Drosophila melanogaster: one gene and its partner. The protein of the gene in region 1 interacts with the protein of each later gene in a pairwise test. Each region holds a gene or a part of one and is shown on either strand. Other genes may lie near its edges. The genes, in order: Nup58 and CG10809.

Region 1 (4,374 bases):
TCTACTTCAAGCAGAAGAAGGGCGGCGGCCTGAGCTTCAACGCCACCTGTTCCCTTACGCGCTGCAACGAGAAAATGGTCCAGACCATCCTGCACTCCTTCAAGATCTTCAACGCCGAGGTGCTCTTCCGCGAAGACTGCACCGAGGACGAGTTCATCGACGTGGTCACCGCCAACCGTGTGTATCTGCCCTGTCTGTATGTCTACAACAAGATCGATCAGATCTCCATCGAGGAGGTGGACCGCTTGGCGCGCCAGCCAAACTCGATAGTGGTTAGTTGCAACATGAAACTTAATCTGGACTACATGATGGAGGCGCTCTGGGAAGCTCTCCAGCTCATCAGAGTGTACACAAAGAAGCCAGGCGCTCCTCCAGACTTTGACGATGGATTGATTCTGAGAAAGGCAAGAGACTGTTTTCCATTCATCCAATTCCTTCTTCAGCCTGGTAAAGCAACTCTAATTCCTTATATATTCCTTGTTTAGGGCGTCAGTGTGGAGCATGTGTGCCATGCCATCCATCGCACGCTGGCGGCGCAGTTCAAGTATGCCCTGGTGTGGGGCACCTCCACGAAATACTCGCCGCAGCGCGTGGGGATTGCCCATGTGATGGCCGACGAGGACGTCATCCAGGTGGTGAAGAAATAAAGATTGTTGCGTGTGAAATATATATTCTATGCTATAACTGAAAGTGAAAGTCTAGGCCCCTTTCGACATAACGATTTATTGAAACTTGTAAAGAGTGCCATTCTCAATTGCCTGTCGCATTGCTGGCGGAACTGGCCGCCGCTGCATAGGACTTGTTCATCAGAGCCGAGATGTTGGAGAAGGGCGTTGGACCGCTACTAATCCGTTGAGGTTCCACCGTCGGCAGCGGAGGATTGTCAATCCGCTCGAAAACGTTGGTGGTGTCTCGCAGGCGGTAGCGTCTGAGGTTTAGGTAGTGCTCCTTGTGCTCCTCCACCCGCTGATGCACCTCGTGGAGGCGTCCCGCCAGCGAGATGAAACTCTCATTAAGTTGGCGAAAGCCACGCTTTAGATCATCCGGCGAAATACTCTGCGGATTCGAGATCGCGTGCATGTGGCGCTCGGTCAGAGCGATCTGCTGGCGAAAGGCGATCAAATCCTGCTCGTACTTCGCCACCAGGCACTGAAAGTACTGGAACGGAGCATTGTTCTCGAACTGCAGGCCGGCTGGGGTGTCCTGCGTGCGTTGGGCCATCTCCAGAGATTGAATCGCCTTGACGGTCTCTTGGCGCATCAGGCGGATCTGCTGATTGCTGCCCTCAACTAAAGTGGCCATATTCTGCAGCGCCCATTTCAAGTTCGTGATCTCGTGGCTGACATTCGTGAATTTGGAGGTGGATGTCCGTCCAATGTCAGAGGAGATGGTCTTCTGCTGTTTGATATACGCTTTTAGGCCATCCACCGTTTTTATTATCTCGTCGGGCACTTGGGTTTCCTTAATCTGGAGTGGTCGAAAATAAAATGATTATTTTGTTTCTCTGTGAAAGACTCATGGTCAGCACCTTGATGCCATCTTGCTTATTGTCCCCCAGCTTTGGTTGCGTGGCGGTCACATCGATCCCCCCCAGACCCACGAAAGTCGATGCTGCCGGGGCAGCTGCCTGACCCGCTGGCTTGCTAAAGATTCCTCCTCCTCCTAGGGTTGTCGTCGCATTGGTGGTTCCCAGTTTCAGACCCGTGTTGAAGGGTTGTGCCGTCGCCGTCGTCGTGGTTGTGTTAAAGTTCAAGCTGGCCGCCGTGGTGGCCTGTGGCTTGGGGAAGGAAAACGATCCAATTCCGGAGCTGAGGGATGCTGGCATCGCAGCTGCCGCCGTTGTGGCGGTGGTGCCGAATCCAAAGGCCGGCGGCGCGGTGGTCGGCGCACTTGTGGCCGGGGTGGCAAAGGAGAAAGTGGGAGCCACAGTGCCCACGGCTGGTGCAGGTGCTCCGAAGGCCGATGCTTGCGTGGAAGCTGGCGCTCCAAACGCCGTTGTGGCTGCTGGTGCTCCAAAGGCGGATGTAGCGGCGGGTGCTCCAAAAGCGGGCGTGGCGGCGGGTGCTCCGAAAGCGGGAGTGGCAGCTGCAGCTCCAAAAGCGGGCGTAGCAGCTGGAGCTCCAAAAGCCGACGTTGCTGCTGGTATGCCAAAAGCGGGCGTGGCAGCAGCCGTTCCAAAAGCCGGCGCCGCAGTGGAAGTGGCGCCAAAACCAGGCGTGGACGCAGGTGCTCCAAAAGCCGGCGTAGCAGCTGGTGCCCCAAAGGCCGGTGTGGCCGCGGGAGCTGCAAACAAGGAGGTGGTGGCCGGAGCAGCACCGAAGGTTGGCGTAGAGGTGGCTGCTCCAAAGGATGGAGGCGGAGCAGTCGTCGTCGCCGGTCGCGCGCCAAAAGCAAAAGCGCCGGTAGCAGCAGTGGCGCCTCCAATGGCGTTGTTCGTGGTGGGCGTAAACATCTTTAGGCACCCCTCTTAAGGATTTATACAGGAATTTTAAACAATTAAACTATATTTACTGCAACAAATTTCGAAATTAATTTTGTTTAATGCCTGAGCATCTGTGGTTTAACTTCTAGGACAGAGATGACACTATCGGTGATATCGATAGCTAGTCAGCAGAGATTTATTCGGAAAAATATCAACAAAGTATTCAAATTGATTGAAATAAATACACTATGGCTAAAGATATATAAAGTATTTGCAGCTTCATATAGTTACGATTTGTGATTTTCAAATATTTAATTTTGGTCTGAGGTGTGGTGAGTTCGGTCCACTACAACATGGTTGTTATTTAATATCAAACGATAGCCTTCAGATATTAATATGAATAAATTATTTCAAAATTTAATCTTTATGTATTTCAATTTTAAAATAATATAAAGAATTTTTTACGAACTAATTTCTTACAATAGCTTTAAATACAGCCGGAACTATTACAGTGCGAAGCAGATTAAACGCTGCATTTAAATTAAAATGAATTAAAGTTTACAAAATTATAAAAGAAAAATATTCATGATGGGAATAAATGAGAAAGTTAATGCTTACAAAAACGTCAAATTATTTAATACTTCTGGCCAATACAATACCAAACAATAATATACAACTAAGCTAATCGATATGCAATCGACCGAGCCATCTCCAAGAGTTTCGCAGCACCCAGCTTTCCGGCACACTGCTTACCCACACCAACTAGCCACCGTGGTGAGTTTGCGTGTGTGTGACTTCGTCATATGACATTTTTCACAGTTCGTCGTCGATTGTGATTCTGTCGCACTTGCTTTTTTCGACTTGCACAGTATACACCACGGCGAGGAATTAGAGAAGTTTGGAAATTATGGCCAGCCAGACGCAGGGAATCCAGCAGTTGCTCGCTGCCGAGAAAAAGGCAGCCGAGAAGGTCGCCGAGGCTCGTAAACGTAAGTTTCATTTTCAGAAACAAAAATCCAATTGGAAATGGCAGGGCGACAAGTAACTGCGATTTTTTCACCACCCCGCCCCCGTGCTACCATAACCACCATCACCGTTGTGTGTGGGTCACATGATGTGGTGGAAAAAAGTAAATACAAGTCAATCCTCCATAACTCGAGATATAAATCAAATTAAACTAAATTAAATTAAATTAAATTAAATTAAAATTGTTTGTGGCCACTAAGACTGCAACTTAAGTGCAGTAAATAGTTTTTGTGCGAGTTGGCACTTTAAGTTATGGAAGGTCATCTTGCGGAGGGCTGATTTGCCAAGTTGAACTGATATGATCATCTGGATTTCTGGGTAATCCCGCAGGCAAGGCAAGGAGGTTGAAGCAAGCCAAGGACGAGGCTACCGAGGAGATCGAGAAGTTCCGCCAGGAGCGCGAGCGCGCCTTCAAGGAGTTCGAGGCCAAGGTAAGACGCCACATAGGGAAACTTATGTACATGTAATACCGTGTGAACCCCGATTACAGCACATGGGCAGTCGCGAGGGCGTGGCGGCCAAGATCGATGCGGATATCCGCGTTAAGCTGGCCGACATGGACCGGGCCATCCAGACCCGCAAGGACCCGTTCATCCTGGAGATCCTGCAGTACGTGTACAACATCTCGCCCGAGGTGCACAAAAACTACAACCACAAGTAAAGAGGTGGCCCCCCAAACTGTGCGCTGTAAATTCAATGTCCACGTTCAACTCTAATCCATAATTTAGACCCGTAATAATAGTGGTTAATCTAACTGGAAACACTGCTGTATTATTATTCCATACATTAAAGTGAAAATTCGTTGTTGTTCCATGTAGAAAAAAGCGAGCATATTAGTTTGCCTCCCACTCGCGCGGGATTGTATTATCATTGTTTTGTGTTCTGCCCAATACACGTTGTTGTTTTATCCGAAAAGTCATGTGTTT
Region 2 (5,167 bases), on another chromosome or scaffold:
GAGACAGGGCTTTTCTTCTTTTTTTCCGTTTCCAGCTGTCCACTCGATTCCTCCTCCTCCTCCATTTGCCCCGCCCACAAAATTCGAAGCTAGGCGCAGATGTTATAAATATAGTATTTTGTGGCATTTCCATTCGTATGAATGGGTCTACGAGTTTCGGTTTCAGGTTTTTGGGCCTGTTTATAAACCCACTCCTCCCATATTTTCTCATATTTATGTCCGGAAAAGTGTTTTGGTCATTTGTCTAGCTTCCGTTATTATTTCGTTATGAATGAAAAACCCATTTGGACCGGGTTTTTTGATCTCCCTAATTTACAACATTTATTTAGTATTAACTCGATCTTGACGTCAATATGGGTTCGTAAACTTCGTTTACTATTTGCGTCGTGAACAAGTTTCTTAAAACGTTTAGTTTTTCTTATCCACCTCATGTTAATGTGAAGTTTACACATAAATACTCATAAAAGACCCCAATGTGGGTTTTCCTAATCGCACTTTGAATACATTTAAACGGCAAGAGGAAAAGGCTGTTAAATAGATTTATAGATGATTTTCAAGCTTCGATTTTTTTTGTTGAATTTATGGATTTTAAAATATATACCAATCAAGGGCAATTAGTATATCAAAACCGTTTGTCATAATGCATTAATAGACTTGGCAACACCAAACTTATGTTAAAATGAAGTTTCAAGTTGTATCTAAGTAGAAACGTTTTCAGTTTGATTTTCTGAAAAGGATTTTCTAGATTATTTGATTGTCAGATCCTCACCACAAACCAGATTCACTCAGAAGTCCTCTCAGTTATTTAGTTACAGATTTCGGCTTGATCTGCGGATTAAGTCAAATGGCCGTTTGGTTTTTCGTTTATTGTTCAGAGAGTGTTTACACGCATATGGTTTTTTTTTTTGTTATAGTATACAATAGACACTTAACGATTTCCAAGTAATGTAGTCATTTAGTTAAATGTAATGTAGCAAATTGTTAGGTGTCCTCTTGAGTTGCGATTGCATCATTATTACATAACTTGATTTCTTTTTGTTTTTGGCGCGCTAAACGTAAAGCTTAAAATGTAATCATGTTTGTTGATTGTTTGCATAAACAATAAGCCTTAAATGAAATACTTAATAAAAAGATCGCATAAAACAATGTGTGTTTTCTTTTGTGTGTGGGTGTGTATGTGTGTGCTTGTGTGTTTGAGAGCGTTGGTCGCATTTGGCAGCTTTGTGGGTTTAGGATCGGGCGCAGGATCTCAATCTCCTCCAGCTGCTTGTCACAATGCCAACTCCAGCTCAACGGCAGCCAAATTAGGAAACGATAAACAAACTGCAACGAAAAGAAAGCAGTTGATTAGTATCACTAGTCTGAAAAAATATTAAAACCAATATTCCGAACCATTTGACATATAATTAAGGTATTGTAAACATTATTGCTTCTAATCTTGTGAGTGACTAAGATCACAAATGCTTTGCGGAATGGCAAATGCGACGTCACATGCTTTATAGATAACGTTTTTAAAAACACAACTTGGGGTTTCATTATTTGTATTGCATATATGTATATTTGTATATATCTGTAGACTATTTGTTTTCATACTCACTTTTTTCTCAACTCATCGAACGCAATTTGGGCCAGCCTGCGGTCGGGTTACCCTGGCGTCCAGTTTACGTCCCGTCTACTTGTTGTTGATTGATAGCCGCTCGACACTGGCGAGCAGCTCATCGGCGGTCTGGGATACGACCTGCTCTTGGTCATCGCTGGTGCTCAGGTTCTGCAGTCGCTTCTCCAGCGCGGAGAGATCCTCCAGCTCGCGCTGCTGCTTTACCATGTAGCGTAAGATGAGCGTGGTCAGCATGCACATGTCCTCGAGGATTTTGGCCGTCTCCGGCGTAGGGTGATCGTAACGATTGCGCAGCAATCTTAGCTTGGCCTCGGCGAGCTCCAGCGGTGACTTGTTGCTGCGATCGTACATGTGGACACTGGCGCCGCCCTGGAGCAGCACACCCACCACAACGTTGAAGTTATTGGAGCTGGCCGAAATCACAGCCAGATGGAGTGGGGTATTCCCCAGCGAGTCGACTACATTTGGGTTCGCTCCGTACTTTAGTAGCTGCTGGACAATGGGTATGTAGCCACGACAGGCGGCCAGATGCAGGGGACTACGATTGTACTCGTCGGCGGCATTTGGATTGGCCCCACCCTCAAGGATGCGGTTGAGCAGCTCGATGTTGCAGGTGGAGGCGGCGGTGCGCAGTTTGCGGCCATTTGACTGGACGATTATGTTGCTGTAGCTGTAGGAGTGCTTTAGACGCTGCATTCGCGGCCGCATCTTGAAGCTTTTGCTACCCGAGGGCAGGGTGCTTGGATGAATCAGGCTGGGCAGATACTCGGCATTGGAGGCATTTGGATTCAGCGGCAGGGGCGGCAGATGCGGCAGGGCAAAGTGCTCGCCCCGATCTCTGCTCAGCTGGAATGATGCATTCGTGCTGGGGTTTGAACTCATGTTCAGGTTGAGGTTGATGTTCATGTGGGGCCACTCGCCGTGCGTGTTGGGCGACGATGTGGGCGTGGGCGGCATTGCCGGTGGCGGCGGCGTTATCATGATCCCCTTGGAGGCGCTGGTGGGCATGGGCATCGGTGTCGATTTGGCCAGTACCATGGCCATCGACATGGGCGATGGCGGCATCGACATCTCCACCTCCTCCTTGGCCGACTCCACGCCGGAGGAATCGTTGTTGGTGGCCGCAGCCATAGCTTGGTCGCAATCGGATTGTGTGCCCCGTTGCCAGTGATGCAGTGCGTCTGTGTTCCTGGTTTCAGTGTTTGGGCCTAAGGCGAAAAAACTCTTCCCATGCACGCGCTGCTTATTTTCCTGTCTGTATTGTTTGTTTATTTTTGCTTCTTTTCCTGCCCACTTTGGTCACTCTGACCACCCGTTATTGGTGTGACCCTGCCGTCCCTGAGCGTATTAATCTTGATCTGCAATGGTTTATCTTCATCTATTGCGTTCGTAGTCCTCGTTTTAAAACACTTTGACTCACTTTGTTATGGATTTTTATGTGTTGGGACGCAGAGCAAAAATTCTTGGCTCGTCTGTATTGTTTGTATTTGTTTTGGCCTATCGATACATACATATGTCTAGTGTGCTAGCTATCGATTGGAAGAATGGAACTTCTGGCGAGGACACTATCGCGATTAGCCAGCCCTGGTAGGCTAAATATTTAAACATAAAAATATTTTAAAAAACAATTATAACATTTTTTAACATCCAGTATTGTAGTCTTAAAAAAATATTTTAATGTTTTCAGCTTTTCATTTCTCTGCCATGAAGTTAAATTTAGTATTCAACAACTAAACCCATTAAGTAATTAAACCAATTAATCTTATAACCTGCAATCTCAAGATCTATAATTTAATGTATGTTAGCTTCTGGACCAGTACTACAACTATTTTAATGGGAATTCATTAAAAACAGGTTTAAACACTTAAAAAGTTTTATTCAAAATTCGTGCTCGACATACTACATACACATTCATTTTCTAACAGAGGCACGGAATGTTTTTATCAATTAAACGACTCAATTGGAGGGTTACGTACAATAAAATACATGGCCGATTATAATACATTAAATAAAAGATTTTCGAAATTAATGTGCTGATATGGTACCCTCTTAAGTCCAATAACACAATATACAAAGCGTATTTCGTTTGCTAATCCTGGAGATGAAGCCTCGGAATTGGAAAAATTAAGGATAATCACACAGATTCTGTTTTGTAGCCAAGTGGTGGGAGGATATCGGTGCTATTGAGAGTGGAAGTCCCAGCGAGTGAGCTGATTTAGACCTCAGAAAAGGTGCTTAATAAAAACGAAGAGGGTTAAACGAGTCTAAAGTACACGGACATGAATCGAAAGGATCCCTCGAATGAGAGATCTCTACAGCAAATGCGGTCTAAATCCGTCTTGCATGCTATTTTAGGAAATTGATCATCTCGATTATCTTATTCCGATTGGCGTGCATATACGCCTTAGTGTGCCACAGCATATTGATCAGTTTTTGGTCGTCCTTTTCGTCCATGGCGATGTCCTCGCTCAGCTGAGGATTGAACCTGAAGTAGGGTATGCCAATCGTGCTGCACCAGGCGCGAGCTCTGTCCACTACTCTTCCATCGGAGCAGGTGGCCTGGTCCACTAGCAGATTGCCTAGCAAGGATATGCATTTGATTAAGAAAGCACACGAGTATATTATAGATAAGGTGCCTTACCAATGGTAGAGATTCCGTAGGCCAGTTTGGCCGTATCCCAGATGCTCTCCGGCCGGAAGACATCAATGTCCTTAAGTTCAGTCACCGGAATATGACCCGTGCCCAGCGACATCACCACGGATACAGGTATGGCCTCTGATTCGCGTCCAGCGCTACGCAAGGCCATATTGTACTCGTGAATCTCGGTCATGGCGTCTAGAGTCGGGTTGTTGGCAATCAAGCCGCCGTCCAGAAAGCGACCAAATGCGCGGAAATATGAGGGCGCAGCTCCAGTAGCCCGAGCAGCACGCCATACCAATTGTTCCGAAGGCTGAGGAGGAGGAATTCTTCGGTTGTCTAAAAGATTAAAATAAAATTAGAGAGCTATCTCGATAATTGGTTGATATCTCACTTACTAATTGGAGTCACAATGCCCAAAATGTCACTGGCGCTCGTATAGTTGCGGAATAGATGTAGATCGACCGGCTTGCGATCCGCCATCACACCAGTGACCATGATCTTCGGGTGCTTAATATCCGTCATCACGTTAAACTCGCCCAGATTGTCCTTCAAAATGGACTCGAAAAACTCGCTGTTATAGGGCCGTGAGCCCACAAAACACTGCTCCTTCATGCGCAAATAGAGGCCCATGCATTGACGCATCGTTTTGCCGCAACCCAGCGCCAAAGCTAGAATTCCGCCAGTACTGGTGCCGGCAATCCAGTCGAACATATGGATAATAGGAGTGCGAGAAAGCTTTTCTATTTCGAGTAGCATCTGTACCAGGACTAGACCACGAATGCCACCACCATCCAAGCAGAGCAGACGTCCGCGTCCGTAGGGTTTATCGCCTATTTCAGCGGCAATGGGCGAGGTGGGTGAAGGCAGCTGCTCCGGACTAGACACAGCGGATTTTTGCGAGCCACTGG

Evidence for each region.
Region 2: the proteins of Nup58 (region 1) and CG10809 interact in a two-hybrid assay, tested with the Drosophila melanogaster proteins (one large-scale study listed by BioGRID).

The regions. Positions count from the first base shown.
Region 1 is NT_033777.3:19,643,243-19,647,616, reverse strand, and holds Nup58 (nucleoporin 58kD), read right to left. Parts: upstream 2,592-4,374; 5' UTR 2,453-2,591; coding exon 1,529-2,452; intron 1,468-1,528; coding exon 751-1,467; 3' UTR 711-750; downstream 1-710. Other genes in the region: CG6195 (uncharacterized protein), read left to right, coding at 1-404, 486-647; Vha13 (vacuolar H[+] ATPase 13kD subunit), read left to right, coding at 3,330-3,411, 3,779-3,879, 3,939-4,109. UniProt on the Drosophila melanogaster protein: Component of the nuclear pore complex, a complex required for the trafficking across the nuclear membrane. Together with Nup54, required for transposable element silencing regulation in ovarian follicle cells.
Region 2 is NT_037436.4:9,856,741-9,861,907, forward strand, and holds CG10809 (uncharacterized protein), read right to left. Parts: upstream 3,150-5,167; 5' UTR 2,750-3,149; coding exon 1,673-2,749; 3' UTR 1,598-1,672; intron 1,324-1,597; 3' UTR 643-1,323; downstream 1-642. Other genes in the region: iPLA2-VIA (calcium-independent phospholipase A2 VIA), read right to left, coding at 3,965-4,197, 4,260-4,595, 4,655-5,167.